Linked DNA regions of Diceros bicornis minor. The protein of the gene in region 1 purifies or fractionates together with the protein of each later gene. This does not show direct contact. Links are inferred from orthologs where the notes say so. Each region holds a gene or a part of one and is shown on either strand. Other genes may lie near its edges.

The links. Proteins that work in one complex are often made in the same cells at the same time.
Region 2: the proteins of LGALS3BP (region 1) and TUBGCP6 purify together in Homo sapiens (co-immunoprecipitation; 4 studies listed by BioGRID and IntAct, counting the BioPlex papers as one, with this or other methods). This does not show direct contact. The link is inferred for Diceros bicornis minor from reciprocal best matches to the Homo sapiens genes LGALS3BP and TUBGCP6.

The regions. Positions count from the first base shown.
Region 1 is NC_080757.1:58,722,617-58,730,284, forward strand, and holds the start of LGALS3BP (galectin-3-binding protein), read right to left. Parts: upstream 3,019-7,668; 5' UTR 2,916-3,018; coding exon 2,895-2,915; intron 929-2,894; coding exon 853-928; intron 1-852.
Region 2 is NC_080764.1:562,727-569,911, forward strand, and holds the start of TUBGCP6 (gamma-tubulin complex component 6), read left to right. Parts: upstream 1-4,172; 5' UTR 4,173-4,450; coding exon 4,451-5,191; intron 5,192-6,344; coding exon 6,345-6,508; intron 6,509-7,185. Other genes in the region: polyamine deacetylase HDAC10, read left to right, coding at 163-289, 451-516, 706-765, 841-930, 1,086-1,192, 1,266-1,676, 1,798-1,882, 2,271-2,362 and 4 more. UniProt on the Homo sapiens protein: Component of the gamma-tubulin ring complex (gTuRC) which mediates microtubule nucleation.

The DNA.
Region 1 (7,668 bases):
AAGATGTGCATAGCCCCCCCAACCAACACATAGAAGGTAAACTTGCCTTGTCTTGTCTTCGAGGTCTCAGCCCTTTGCTCCGTTGATAGAAAAGGGGCAGAAGGGATGCTTGGTGCACAGCACTGAGAGTAGGGGTGCAGGACCCCAGGGAAGAGTGGGGAGGGGGAAGGGGCCCATGCTGATCCCACCTGAGGGTGTCTGGGCCTGGGGGGGCAGCCTGTGCACCACAGCAAGGATTGCTGGGAGGTGTCTGGGGGAATGCCGGGGGGCAGCAGGCCCAGGGACCCCCAGAAACACAGGCACAGAGAGAAAGTGGGGTCCTGGCCCCATATTCGTTCTTCTAGGACTCAGCTCACTGACATCCCCAGCCAGCCCCTCCCGGTGCTGACAGGGTAAGGCAAGAGCTGGGTGCCATGTCAAAGGGCAATTCCCAGTTAGGGGTGCAGCAGGCCACTTGTGGGGTCACTAGGATGAGGAAGGGGCTCCTGGGCCTTGAGGTGTAAAGAGCAGGAGGACAGATGTCTAGGAGTCTGGAAGGCTGACTGTGTCCAAAGGGCACTGACCTCATGACCCCCAGCATTTGGCTTGTCCAATGTGCCCCTCCTACTGCGTCCCTCTGGTTCCCACTAGGTGGAATGGAGAAGCACTTGGTATCCACCTCCAAGACACAATCCACCATGACTCGGGACAACTAGGGTCAAGCAGGAGAGAAGACCCAGGCTGGTCCCGGTGACCCAGGCACTGGACAGCACATTGCCTAGACTTTCTGCAAGGAGAGGGTCAACCCCGTAGAGCTAGGGAGCAGGGGCTTCTCCAACTGTTGCTTCTGGCATTCCCCAGGGCTCGGCTCACCTTGAGTCCCTGTGACCAGCAGCCACATCCAGAGGAGCTGTGGGAGGGCCATGGCCTTGCCTGGGAGCCCCTCGTCCTGCAGCAAGAGGCGGCAGAGTGAGACAGTGGAGCTGGACAGCCCTCAGGACCAGGCCCAGTCTGTCCATCCATCCTTCAGACCCTACTTGTGGAGGACAGCTGGTGGGCGCGGTCCCTGCTCCCGCAGAGCCGTGAGTATGAGGAATGCCCGCTGCTCTGGGCACCCCAGTGGGAGTCCCTCACCTCATCTGAAGGGTGGTCCTCCAAGAACGAGTAAGACTTGCCCAGATGAAGGGGGCGAGCAGGGGGTGTCTCGAGCAGTGAGGACAGTGGAAACAGGAGCCCATCTCAGAAAACAAGGCCCTGGGTGTGGCTGTCAGTGGTGACGGTGAGGAGGATGGAGAGGGAGGAGATGGGAGTGTGCAGGGCCCAGATGAGGAGAGGCCTGGTGAGCCTTGCTAAGCCGTATCTTCAGGCAACGGACCCCTGGGGGAGTGCCCAAGGTCTGCAGCAGATAAAGAACATTCTGGAGTTCTGGACCATGTGAGCCCTGGAAGGGAGGGGAGTGAGAGCAGAGCAGGGGGACACATCAGGAGGAGGCCACAGTAACCCAGGCCAGGAGCGACAGAAGGACAGGCAGCAGTGAGAGATGTCAGGCTTGGTGGGGGGGGTTCAGTGGGGGTGGGGGGGAGAGAGGTCAGAGCTGAGTGCTGAGTCTCTGTGCAGCTGGTTGGGGGGGTGGGGGCTAGACTGGGGCTACCGGGACCAGGATGGGGAGGAAATGCTGAGTGGGCTCGGTGTGGACCTGGCGCTGCCACCTGTGAGGTCAGTGTCCCCAAGAAACAGAAGCTTGAAGAGGCTGGGGCCACCAAGGCCACACAGCCATCTGGTGTGGGGGAACCCAGGTCTCCCAGGTTTTGCCTGGAGTCCTCGCCTCTCTGTAACTCTTGCTGCTTGCTCTTCCTCTTCATTCCCACCCTGCCCCTCACCTGCCTCCCTCCCCCCGTATCCCGGACCTGGAAGAGCCAGTCATTGTTTCTCTGGCTCAGTAAGAATCCTGTGACCGTCCCCACCCCCCGAGGTCCAGCAAGTGGGGGATGAGGCCGCTGTTGTGAGAGTCCCTACAAGTCAGGGCTGGTCACCTTGAAGCAGCACCCTAGTTCTGCATTAACAAGACCCCTGGGCTCCTAGGCACACTGATCTGTTAACTGGCCTTGAATGGGCATCCCCTGTGCCAGGGCTGCTCACACGCACCAGCTCAGGGAACCCTTACCACGACCCCTGAGAAAGGCCTTGTTAACCCTACCTGACAAGTGAAGGAGCTGAAGCCCAGAGAGGTAACTGGCTCCGCATCACACAGCTGGTAAGCGCAGGTTGGGGCCTGCATTGCATTGAGCTCAGCAGATGGCTGGAGGGGCCAGGGTGACCACCATCCAGTGTGCCAGGGACTGTGCCGGTTTTAGCACTGGAAGTCCTGCGTCCTGGGACATGCTGTCAGTCCCAGGCAAACCAGGATGGTTGGTCAACCTCTACACTCCCTGGAGAGCCGCTGCCACCGGGTTTGTTTGTCCTGGGACAGGAACTCAGGGTCCTGGAAGATGGCCAATCAGATACCTGGTGCACGGCATGCAAATGTCGCTGCCCTTGGGATGGCAGGGGCCACCTGTTATTGCCTGACTCCCTCATATGGGAAGTTGGATGGGGCTGCCCTTGACCCATACGGTGCCTTTGTGCCAATTAGAAAAAGGGGCTCTTCCTTCGGGTGAAGGGAGGCCTGGGCCAGAATGCACAGACAGGTGAGAGGGCCGTGGGCTGAATTCCAAGACTTTTTGCCCCTTTGGCTGGTGTCCCTTTGCAGTGAACAACCTGCACAACTGTACACAGAGGCCCTACAGATCTGGGAGAAGCAATGATGGTCCCTGGGCTCAGGAGGAGCACCAGATCCCCAGCTGGGTGGTGCAAACAGGGAGACTTGGCCCCCACTAGATGATGCTGTGTAGAGAGAGCAAGAGGCCTGAGCTTACCTGCCAGAGGCAACTGCTCATGGTGGTCCTGGGCCTCCCACCTCCTGCTGCAGGAGCCCTCTGCAGACTGTCCTTCAACCCAGAAAACCCTCCCAGTGCAGAGCGTGGTCAGGCTGGTCCCTTCAGGAAATGCTTCAGAAAACTGATTCTAGTTTCGATTTTCAGAAACCACGTGACAGATTTCTCCTGGGGCTGGCTGCTGACAAGGCTCCCTGGCGCCCCCCTCCTTCCTCTCATCCCTGACTGTGGGTGTCGGGGATGGCAGCAGCCCAAGGCAGCCGTCCGGCTGACTCGATAACCAGAGCACGACAGCTGACAGCCACATTTGAATTTAAACCCTCTTCCAAGCTGGACCAGCGCCAGGGGCTGGCATCGGGGAGGGGAGGGGAGGGGTGGGGAAGCAGGGGACAGCAAGAAGAGCAGAGGGTGGGCACAGACAGGCCGGGTCTGCATCCAGTGACCGAGGGGTCTTAGTATATGCTCCGATCTGTTTCCTGGTCTCACACATTGCCACAGGGTGGACAGCGCTGGAGTGGCCACTCATTCCCAAGTCCACCCTACTCTAAGCACCTGACATGCCTGACCTCACAGAAAGGGCCACACCCCGCGAAGCTGCACAGTGTCGTCCCCCTTAATGGGGGAGGGAGACCCTGAGACATGAGACAACATCCCCAGAGTATGCCACCCACCCCAATAATGGTCATTCTCCCGGCGTCTCACCCCCAGTGGGGCAGGAGACAGAACCTCTGGAGTGGACATAAATTGTTCTACCCACCTCACCCCCATTCTCTGTCCTCCAGCAGAAAGCCAGCACCTCGATTTTTCCTTGGAGAAGCCCTCCTCTCTCACTCCCAGACCGTGTGGTTCTGAGGGCCCCAGGCTGCCCTGGGATCTGACCAGGGCCTGGCTGATCAGAGCCCTGTGGGCCCCTTGGCCACACAATGGTGTCAGGGACAGGCCGTGATCCCAGCCAGCCCAGCGAGAGTCGGCCTCACACTCATGGAGAGCGACCCCATGGGGGCATGTGGCCTGGAGCTACTGTGCCGTGTGCCCCAGCCTGTGCCCGAGGAAAGCCCAGCTGAGGCAGCAGGTGGGGCAGAGCTGCGAGATGGAGGAAACTAGGTTCCTGGGTCCAGCTGGCCTGAAGCCAAGGTCAAGCCTGGGGCTTCACAGTTAAATGAGGCAATCAACGCCCTCTGTTTCTGTCACTGGCATCCCAAGGTTCTGGACGAGGGTTATCCCTTTGTAATGTCCCCAGGTCTCTCTAACCCAGTGGCTGTCGACCTGGTCTGCATGTGAGAATCATCCAGAAGTTTTACAAACTCCCAGTGCCCAGACCCATTAAGTCACAACCTCTGGGTGGGGACAGACATTGGCATTTAAAAGCCTTCCAGGTGGCTCCAACGTGCAGCCAGGGCTGAGAACCACCGGGTGAGACACACTGGCAGCCTGCAGTCCAAGAGGGCGAGCGCCCAGGTCAAACATTCAATGAATATTTGCCCAAGAAGTGAGGTTTTGGGGGACTCCACAGTTCATCTAGTCCCCTCCAAAGAAACTAAAGATGCAGGGGGCGAGGCAGCTAGAAATAGAACTGGCAAAACAAGACACTGGAGTGAGTTTTAAAATCCCATCCAGATCAAGAGCCTCAGTTCTCGCTGACACAGGAACTCCAGCATTGTCACTTCTTATGGTCTCCGTTGATTTTATCTCAAATAAGTGGCCAGTCAAGGCCTGGAATGCAGAGGAAGTCCTTTGGCAGGTGGTGGTGGAAATGTTTAAAAACTCAAGTTGCTGAATCTTTAGCCAAGAGTCCTGGAAAGTCCTTCAGGTCCAGGCAAATAAAATGTAAGATGGAGGCCTCAGCACAGCATCACAGCACAGTATCTGCTCCCCAGGCTCTCAAGGCTGTTCCAGCCTTAGGTTCCCATAAAGGGAACGTGGAACGGGAGCTTGAAATGATCTGCTCCAGAGAGGAGGGGCTCAGTTCTGATAGAGAGACTGGGAAAGTCCCGGACACTGCAAACAATTGGGCCCAACTGTGACAGTGTGGACGATGCTGCTGTAATCTGGAAGCCACTGCCAAGACGTGGCAGGGAGAGTGCTGGGGGCTTTCAGAGACAGAACTCTTAGCTGGTTTACAAGATATTTTTTGTGCCTCTACTCAACCTCCCCTGCAGAATACAGGAACATTACCTATAATGCTAATATTGATGCAGCCAGGCACTATTCTAAACCTGTGACATGAACTGACCCATTTAATACTCCCAACCACTATGGGAAGTTGCTGCTCTTATTAACCCCTTTTATAGATGAGAAAACAGAGGCACAGAGAGGTGAAATCTGCCCAAAGTCACACAGCTGGAAGGGAGAGAGCTGGGATTCAAACCCACACACTTCTCTCTCTCTTTTTTTTAATTGGCTTGAAATATAATTTACACACAGTAAAATGCATCAATTTAATGAGTTTTGATAAATGTATACAGATGGTAACCATGACCATCATAATATACAGAACATTTTCATCATCCCCAAATGTTCTCTTCCGTCTCTTTGCAGTCAGTCCCCTCCACCAGCCCCGACCCTGGCAACCACCGATCTGCTTATTGCCATGCAGCTTTCCCTATTCTAGAATTTCATAAAAAGGGAAACATACTGTATGTAATCTTTTGTAAGCTTTTGAGATTCATTCCATCACTGTGAATATCAGTAATTGGTTCATTTTTTTGCTGAGTAGTAGTCCACTGTATGGAAAGACTATAATTTGTTTACGCATTTATGCATTGGCGGACATTTGGGTCGTTCCCAGTTTTTGATTATTATGAATAAAGCTGTTAGGAACATTTGGAGACAAGTCACACAAGTCTTTACGTGAACGTAAGTTTTTATTTTTTGTGTGTAAATACCTATAGATAGGATTACTGGGTCATATGGTAGATGTAGATTTAACTGTTTAAGAAAATGTCAACCTGTTTTCCAAAGTGGCTGAACCATTTTGCATTCCTACTAGCAATTTTATCACCCTTCCAGTGACTCTAAATCCTCACCAATGCTTGGGATTGCCAGCTTTTTAATTTTATCCATTCTAGTGGGTATATAGTGGAATCTCATTGTGGTTTTAATGACTACTGATGTTGAGCATCTTTTCATATGCTTATTTGTCATTCGTACATCCTCTTTGGTGAAGCGTCTATTTAAATCTTATGCACATTTTAAATTGGGTTGTTTATCTTATTACTGAGTTGTATAAGTTCTTTATATATCCCGATACAAGTCCTTTAGCAGATATATGATTTGCAAATTTTGTTTTGTTTTGTGTTCTGAAGAGCAAACGTTTTGAATTTGGTTAAAGATCAATTTATTATTCTTTTGGTGTCATATCTAAGAAATCTTTGCCTAACAAAGATTTTCTCCTATGTCGTCATCTTCTAGGAGTTTCGTCGTTTCAGCTCTTACATTTAGGTCTATGATCTATTCTGAGTTAACTTTGTGTATGATGGGAGATAAGGGTTTCAATCATTTATTTCCATACAGATTAGACTTGTCTCAACACCACTTATGGAGACAATCTGTTTCCCACTGAATAGCCCTGGTACCTTTGTCAAAAATCAACTGACCACATACATATGGGTCTGTTTCTGGACCCTCTTCTGTTTCATTGATTTATATGTCTATGTTTCTTATGCCAATATTACAGTTTTGATTACTTATAGCCTTATATTAACTCTTGGAGTCAGATAGTATAAGTCCTTCAACTTTGTTTTTCTTTCTCAAAATTGAGTCTTCCCATCTGTGAAGACAGTATATTGTTTCACTTGAGTCTCCTTTAATTTCTTTCATCAGTGTTTTGTAGTTTCAGCATACAGATCTTTCACGTTTTGTTAGATTTATATCTATTTCACGTTTTTTGGTGCTACTGTAAATGACACTGTATTTAAAAATTTCCATTTCCAATTGTTCACTGCAGCTATATAGAAATAAAATTAATCTCTATATGTGGACTGTGTATCCTGCAGCTTTGTTAAACTCAACTGTTAGTTCTAACAGTTATTTTTGAAGATTTCTGAGGCTTTTCTACCTAGTTGGTCTTGCCATTAGCAAACAAAGATAGTTTTACTCTTTCTTTTCCAATCTTTATGACTTTCCTCTTTCTTGCCTAATTGCACTCTCTGGGACCTCCAATAAGATGGTTGGTGAATAAAAGTGATGACAGCAATGCCAGTTTCCTGGGCTGTATAATTGTGCTATGGTAACATAAGGTGTTACCACTGGAGAAAGCTGTGTGAAGGGAACATAGCAACACTATACTTCTAGGTGGTTTAAAATAATTTCAAGATAAAAAGTTTAGTGGGGGAGAAAATACTGGTGAAAGCAGACATTCTTGACTTGTTCCCAGACTTAGGAGGAAAACATTCAGTCTTTCACAGTGAAGTAGGATGTTAGCTGTATGTTTTTCACAGATGCCCTTTATCAGGTTAAAGAAGTTCCTTTTATTCCTAGTTGGCTAAGAGTTTGTTTTGTTTTTGTTTCATTTTTTTTTAAATCATGAGTGGGTGTTGGATTTTGCCAAATGCTTTTTCTGTATCTTTTGATATGATCATATGGTTTCCTCTTTAGTCCGTTAATATGCTGAATTACATCGATTGATTTTAGAATATTAAACCAACCTTGCATTCTGGGCAGAAACCACACTTTGTCATGAAGTGTTTTCATTTTTCTATATTGCTGGATTCAACTTGCTAAATTTTTGCTAAGGATTTTTGCATCTATGTTCATG
Region 2 (7,185 bases), on another chromosome or scaffold:
ACAAGACCCTTCCATGCGACGCAACTCTTTGGAGTGCTCAGCCTGGTCTCAGAAAATCTGACGGGGGAGACGTGGCCGTGTGCTTAGGGATCAGGGTTCTTTGAGGAGCTGTGGAGCTAAGGGTCCTGATCTCTGACCTCTGACCCCGGCTGGCTGTCACAGCGTCCTTTACTTCTCCTGGCACCGCTACGAACACGGGCGCTTCTGGCCCTGTCTGCGCGAATCAGATGCAGATGCTGTCGGGCAGGGGCAGGGCCGCGGCTTCACTGTCAACCTGCCCTGGAACCAGGTGCCTGCCCCTCCCCCAGCCCACCTCCCCTGCCCCACAGCTCCGGGCCTCCTGAGTGGAGCCCAGGCATCCTGCCAGGGTCACCCCCAGAGGCCAGGCCCCAGGGGTGAAGACCCCACATCCCCCTGGCGAGGCCCAACACTGACACCCTGTGGCCGCAGGTTGGGATGGGAAATGCTGACTACGTGGCTGCCTTCCTGCACGTGCTGCTCCCCCTGGCCTTTGAGGTGACTGCGTGGGGCGTTGGGGTGGTCTCGATGGCAGGAGGGTGAGATGGGGTATTCGGTGCCCAGAGTCCTGTCAACTCCATCAGAGTGGAACAAAGCCCAGGTGGGTGGGGAGGGTCTCTCTGGAGGGGCCTCCTCTGTCCCTGCTCCAGCCTCTTTCCTGCTCCTCTCCACCGGCCCTGCCCACAGTTTGACCCTGAGCTGGTGCTAGTCGCAGCAGGATTTGACTCAGCGGTTGGGGATCCCGAGGTGAGGGCCTAGCCTGGCTGGGGAGGGCTCCTGGGGTCCCGGGCCAGGCCCCCTTCACAGTGGCTCTGATTCCAGGGGCAGATGCAGGCCACGCCAGAGTGCTTTGCCCACCTCACGCAGCTGCTGCAGGTGCTGGCTGGCGGCCGGGTCTGTGCCGTGCTGGAGGTGACTGCGGCGAGCAGGGAGGGTGCACGGGCCAGAGGCTGAGGAGCAGTCAGAGGGGGTCTGCTGCATGGGTATGGCGTCCTGCCTGGGATGGCAACATCCTGCCCCAATGACCCCCTTCCCCAGTCACATCTCTGCCCTCCTCCACCTTCCAGGGTGGCTACCACCTGGAGTCGCTCTCTCAGTCGGTGTGCATGATGGTACAGGCACTGCTGGGTGACCCTGTCCCACCCCTGTCAGGGTGCATGGAGCCGCATCGCAGGTGCGAGGGGCAGGAGGGTGGGAAGGGCTGGGGGCATGAGGCCAGGCCTCACTACTCCTGCCTGTCCCTGCAGCGCCCTGGAGTCCATCCAGAGTGTCCGGGCAGCCCAGGCTCCTCACTGGATGAGCCTCCAGGAGCAAGGTCATTGTGGCCTGGGCTGGGAGGTGGGATCACACCTCGGGCTCCCAGTAAGCGGCAGTAACTCTGAACCACCTCTAGATGTGGCCCCTGTACTGAGTCCCAGCACCGGCTCCCCAGAGGGGAGGCTCTCACCTCTGTTGCCTGGCGGGCCCGAATTCAAGGCAGCAGCGGCCCAGGCCGTGGCTGCATTGAGCTCCCTCCTGGACCAGCTGCGCCTCCACCCCACGCCCTCCGTCCGCACAGCTGTTGCCCTGACTGCGCTGGATGCAGCACTGCTCCTGCCCCCTGATGTCCTCCATCAGGAGGGGTCAGCCCCGCAGGAGGAGACGCAGGTCTGGGCCAGGTGGGCAGAGTGGGCCTGGGGAGAGGGGTGAGGCTGTGTCCACCCATATGCCTGTGTGTGACTCACCTGTGGTCTATGTGTCACCCTATGTCCATGTGTCCCTCTGGTTTGCCCACCACAGGCCACATGAGGCCTTGGCCCAGGACAAGGCCCTCACTGCACTCGGGAAGGTCCTGTATCTCTTGGATGGGATCCTGGATGGGCAGGTGGGGGCACCTGGGAGGGGCGGGGGTGGCTGTGGAGCCAGGGGCAGGGCCCAGGACCTACCCGTGATGGGTGGCCTGTCCAGGGGAGGACTGGGTGGTGCAGAACCACGACACGAGTGTGGCCTTGTGCCCAGGACCCCTCCTAGAATAGCCCCCAGGGACGGGGTTCTTGAGCACCCCTCCTCAGTTCCCTCAACTAAATACTCTTTGGCAGAACGGTGAAGGGGGTGACTTAAGGTGTGGTTTTAAACATCTTATTTTCAAAAGTAGAACAATTTGACTTCAGTGTATACAGATGACAGCCACGTGGACAAGGGCCAAAGAAGGGATGTTCGGGTCTGTTTACCTTTTTGGGAATTGCCCTCCACTGCTGTTATTCACTCCACAGGTGAGCAGCGGCATCGCAGCCACCCCGGCCCCTGCTGCAGCTGCCACCCTGGATGTGGCCATTCGGTGTGGCCTGTCTCATGGAGCCCAGAGGTGAGCCTCACCTGGCCAGCCTGAGCCTCTGAGGGAATGGCCCAAGGGCATCTCCTGCCCTGGCTAGCCACATGGGGAGGGCTCTGGGAATGGACTCCAGGAGGGGTGAGTGCAGCCTGTCCTGGGGCCGACTCTTCCTCTAGGCTGCTCTGTGTGGCTGTGGGACAGCTGGATCGGCCCCTAGACCTTGCCGATGATGGGTATGACTCCTGGGTCATGTGTATGTCCAATCCTGCCTGTGAGTGGGCACATGACCCTGGGGCCCCAGGCGTGATGGGTGGGGGGAGTCTTCTACAGCTAGAATTTGGTAGAGGGGCCCTTGGGAGCAATGCCAGGAGAGTCTCCACTATAGAGGGTCAGCAGTCCTAGCACCTGTCCCCCCCAAGCTCTCTACCTCCCCTTCTGAAGTCTGGGTTCTGGAGGGTGAGCAGCGTCTCACACACATGCACACGTGTCCATGTGCTCACTCTCCCCTGGAAGAAGGAATCTATGGCTGAATATCAGGGGCAAGGAGGCAGCTGCCCTGTCCATGTTCCACGTCTCCATGCCACTACCAGAGGTGAGTGGTGATGTCACAGGGCAGGGCAGCTGCTGCTTACTGGAATCGTCATGAGGGCCAGGCCCCTGGCTTCCTTCCTGGCTTCCTGATGGGACTGCTGGTGTAGTTGCCCACCAAAGATTGGGAGGTGGGGTGGCCTGAGCTGGCAGGAGGGGTATCCCCTGAATGAGGGGCTGGGGCCATGCTCCTGTCCCTCCCACAGACAACTGGTGGGTTCCTGAGCTGTGTCCTAGCCCTGGTGCTGCCCCTGGCCTATGGCTTCCAGCCTGACCTGGTGCTGGTGGCACTGGGGCCAGCCCATGGCCTGCAGAACCCCCAAGCTGCACTCCTGGCTGCACTGCTGCGGGGACCAGCAGGGGGCCGAGTGTTGGTACTGGTGGAGGAGGTGAGTTGGGCAGAGGGGACATGCTGGGGGGTTAGGGTTAGGGTTAGGAGGTCGGGAGAGACCAGTGACTCTCTGCTTCCACCTCTGCCCCTGGCCCAGGAATCCACACCCCAGCTTGCAGGGGTCCTGGTCCGGGTGCTCCGTGGAGAGGCCCCCCCCAGCCTGGGCCCCTTCTCCAGGGCCTCCCCAGAGGACATGCAGGCCCTGGAGCACCTGAGAGGGCAGCTGGGGCCGCAGTGGAAAATGCTGCAGGTGGCCGGTGAGGCTACGGGGCAAGGCTCAGGCTGGATGCTTGGGGCCTTGGGGACATCCTGCTTTAGAGCTCTGCGGGGAGACTGCCCCTTGGGTAGTGGGGTGCTGCCCGGAACCGCTCACGGCAGTGCCAGGGGACCCTCCACCTCTTCCCAGCTCCTCCTCCAGTGCTGTGACCTGGGAGCTTGGCGTCGGCCGGGGTGGAAGTCTTTACACCCCGGGACGGACACCACCACCTGGCCCCCAGGGCCGGTTAACCGTCACCGGCACGGCTCGCCCGCGGCCGTGTCCCGACCGGCCCTGCGTCCACTCGGCGCCCCCGCCGCCCTGCGCGGACGGCCCGCCCTGCCCCCCACGCCCCGGCAATAAATAGTTAGGCAAAAGCCTGACTCCGTCTGCTTGGTTCAGCCCGCGCCGGCCTCAGTTTCCCCGCCGCGGGTCCGAGACTCCCAGCCGGAAGCGCTCCCTGGACGGCAGCTCCACTCCTGCCCCTCCGCGCCCCGCCGGCTCCCCGGTGACGCAGTTCCGGCGCGCCGGCTCCGACGGTCTGGCCGGTCGCGTCGCGGTGACGCGACGGCGGCGGCAGGAGCGGGAGCGCGCTCTTCCCGGGAGGCTGTGAGCGGGGCTCGTGCGCCTGACCCCGCGGACCCTGCCGGCCGCCCCCACTGCCCCTTGGGCGGCGCCTGCTTCGCCGTCCCTCCCGGGGACACGGGAAGGCCGCGGAGCCGCACGTGTGCCGTGTGCGCCCACGCTAGCGTGTCCTCGGGCTCGTCCCGCGCCGGGATCCTGCGGCTTGAGGGCCCGGACCGGGGGACCGCGCCGAGCCGGGCTCTGCGGCCGCAGGGCAGGGGGCGCCGAGCGGCACGAGGTGCCCGGAGCCGAGAGGGTGGGCATGGCCAGCATCACCCAGCTGTTCGACGACCTGTGCGAGGCCCTCCTGCCGGTCGCGAAGGCTCGCTTGGGCCAGCGCGGCGTGAGCCGAAGGAGGGCGAAGCAGAGCCTCAAGAGGGTGGCCTACAACGCTCTCTTCACCAGTCTGTTTCAAGATGAGACGCAGAGGCTGCAGCCTGACCCCTCAAAACTCCCGGTGAAAAACAAGATCCTCATGCTGTCCTTCGACTTGAGGGTGGGTGGCCTGGGCCCCGAGGCTGACCGTTTGGAGGAGCTGGTGGAGGAGCTGGAAGCAGGCCCTTGCTGTCCGCTTGCGGAGGTGGGCTCTGTTTTGGACCTCCTGGTTCAGCTGGCAGGGAGTGGCCCCCCGCGAGTGCTGCCGCGAAAGCGGGACTACTTCTTTAACAACAAGTACGTTGGGAGAAACGTTCCCTACAGCGGCTACGACTGCTACGACCTGAGTGTGTTTGAGATGGACGTTCAGTCTCTGATCTCCAGAGAGGAGTATCTATGTCAGGACATGATCCACAAAGCGCTTCAGGTGATGGAGGCGGCGCCGGGCACTGGCCTGCCCACTGTTGGGCTCTTCTCGTATGGTGACCCTTGTGGTGACAGGTTTGAGAGAGACACCCGGGTCTCGCTGTTCGGTGCCCTTGTGCACAGCCGTACATACGACATGGATGTCCGCCTGGACCTGCCCCCGGTGCCAGACAGCGCAGACCTCTCTGGACTGGCTATTAAGGTAGAGTGATGCTTTCCCGCCTCTGGCTCCTCAGGCGTTTGGAAATGCCTCCTTTGACCTTCCTTTGGTCATGGTAAAGGTAGGATAGCTCTCAAGCCACTTGTGGCTGAGCTGTGGGGAGGCAGGGCTGCTGGAATGCGCCTTCCTGGGTGGCGACGCTGCTGCCAACCTGCACACCAAGACAGCAGGCTGCTTTTCATCTTTCGTCTATCACGGCGTATTTAGTCACTTACTCTGCCCTCTAGAGTTGACTTTTGTTTTTGTTTTTTTTTTATAATTTTATTTATTTATTTATTTTTCCCCCAAAGCCCCAGTAGATAGTTGTATGTCACAGCTGCACATCCTTCCAGGTGCTGTATGTGGGACGCGGCCTCAGCATGGCTGGAGAAGCGGTGCGGCAGTGCGCGCCCGGGGTCCGAACCCCGGGCGGCCAGCAGCCGAGCGCGCGCACTTAACCGCTAAGCCACGGGGCCGGCCCTAGAGTTGACTTTTGAATTTAAGTTAATTAAAATGAAATAAAGTTTAGTTCCTCAGTCACATAAGTCACATTTCAAGTGCTCAGTAGCCACATGTGGCAAAAAATATTTGTTCATTCTCTACATGCAGTTTTATATACTTTTTTTCACCTATAAATGGGATTTTGCCTGCATTATTAAATAAATCATGATTGGCTTTTGTATTTTGTGGCTTTATAAATGTTGCTGGAAGGATGCGCTGTTATTAGTCGTTCCCTTACTATGAGATATTTAGTTATTTCCAAACATAAATAATGCTATAGCGAACATCTTGGTGTGTATAAATTTTTGTGTGTCTAGTATGATTTTTTTGTGTGTGCTGTATTCCCCAAAGTGGAATTTCCAGATTGGAGGCATTTCAGGAAAAATTTCATTGTAAGTTATATTGAGGGTTATGTGTTGTGTGAAATTGGAAATCGATAACCTTAATAAATTAATTTGTTTAACTTCTTAAACGATTCAGTGGGGGCAAAAACATTGTGTAGTACATACCTGCTTGAGAAAAATAGAAACGTTCTACAAGGTCTTTCCTGTAAGGAGTAAACACGTGTGTGGAAAAGTCCTGGAATTCTGATCACACTTGGGGGACATTTAGACTCAGGCATACGTGCTATTTCCTTCTTTCCCATGGTCTCCAGGTTCCTCAGAGTGTGGATCAGTCAGAAGATGAAGGGTTCCAGTCAGCATCCAATTTAACTCCCGATTCCCAGTCTGAACCAGGCATGACTCCAGACATCGACCTGTGGGACGCTGTGCTCACCTACGAGGCCAGCAAGCGGAGGTGCTGGGAGCAAGTTGGATGGTACGGGAGCCTCTGCTTTTCAGTACACTGCCCTTCCCCCCACGTGGAACAGTGCCTTTTCTCAGAGAGCCCAGGCGGTTGTTTCTAGAACAGCTGTGAAGGGGCTAGGAACTTGGAAGTTTCAGTCAAGCTAGTGTACAAAATGGTCTGTGTCCTGGGTGTCGAGAGAAACGCAGAGGGGAAAGGACTTCCAGGCTTTTTGGGGGCTCCCGCTATGCCAGTGACTTCTGCAAACCACACTTGCCATCAGAGCGGTCAGTTGGCAACTGAGTTACGTTCTTGCCCTGAGGGCTCCCGGTCAGGGGTCTGAGGGCGGTCTGGCAGGCTGTGTGATCAGTGCCAGGCTCAGGGTGCTGACGGAGCCTTCATACTGCTGTATGCATCTAGAAGGATTGAGAGTGGCGCTCTCCAGCTGACGAGAGGCTCCAGTCATGGCTGTTTCCCTGATGGTGCCGGCAGCTCGCTCCCTGGGCTCGTCCGGCCCACAGGCCTCTGCACTCAGGACCTCCCAGAGTCTGTGATGTGCTGCTGTCTCTTGAAACCTCCAGAATGGGGATAGAGGACACATGACATACGTTTCCAGGTGTTTGGTCATGGGACCCCTTTGTCACAGCCCACCTGCTGGCAGTTCTGTGGAACACCAGTTTGGGGAGCAGTGAATGAAAGAACGGGATTAG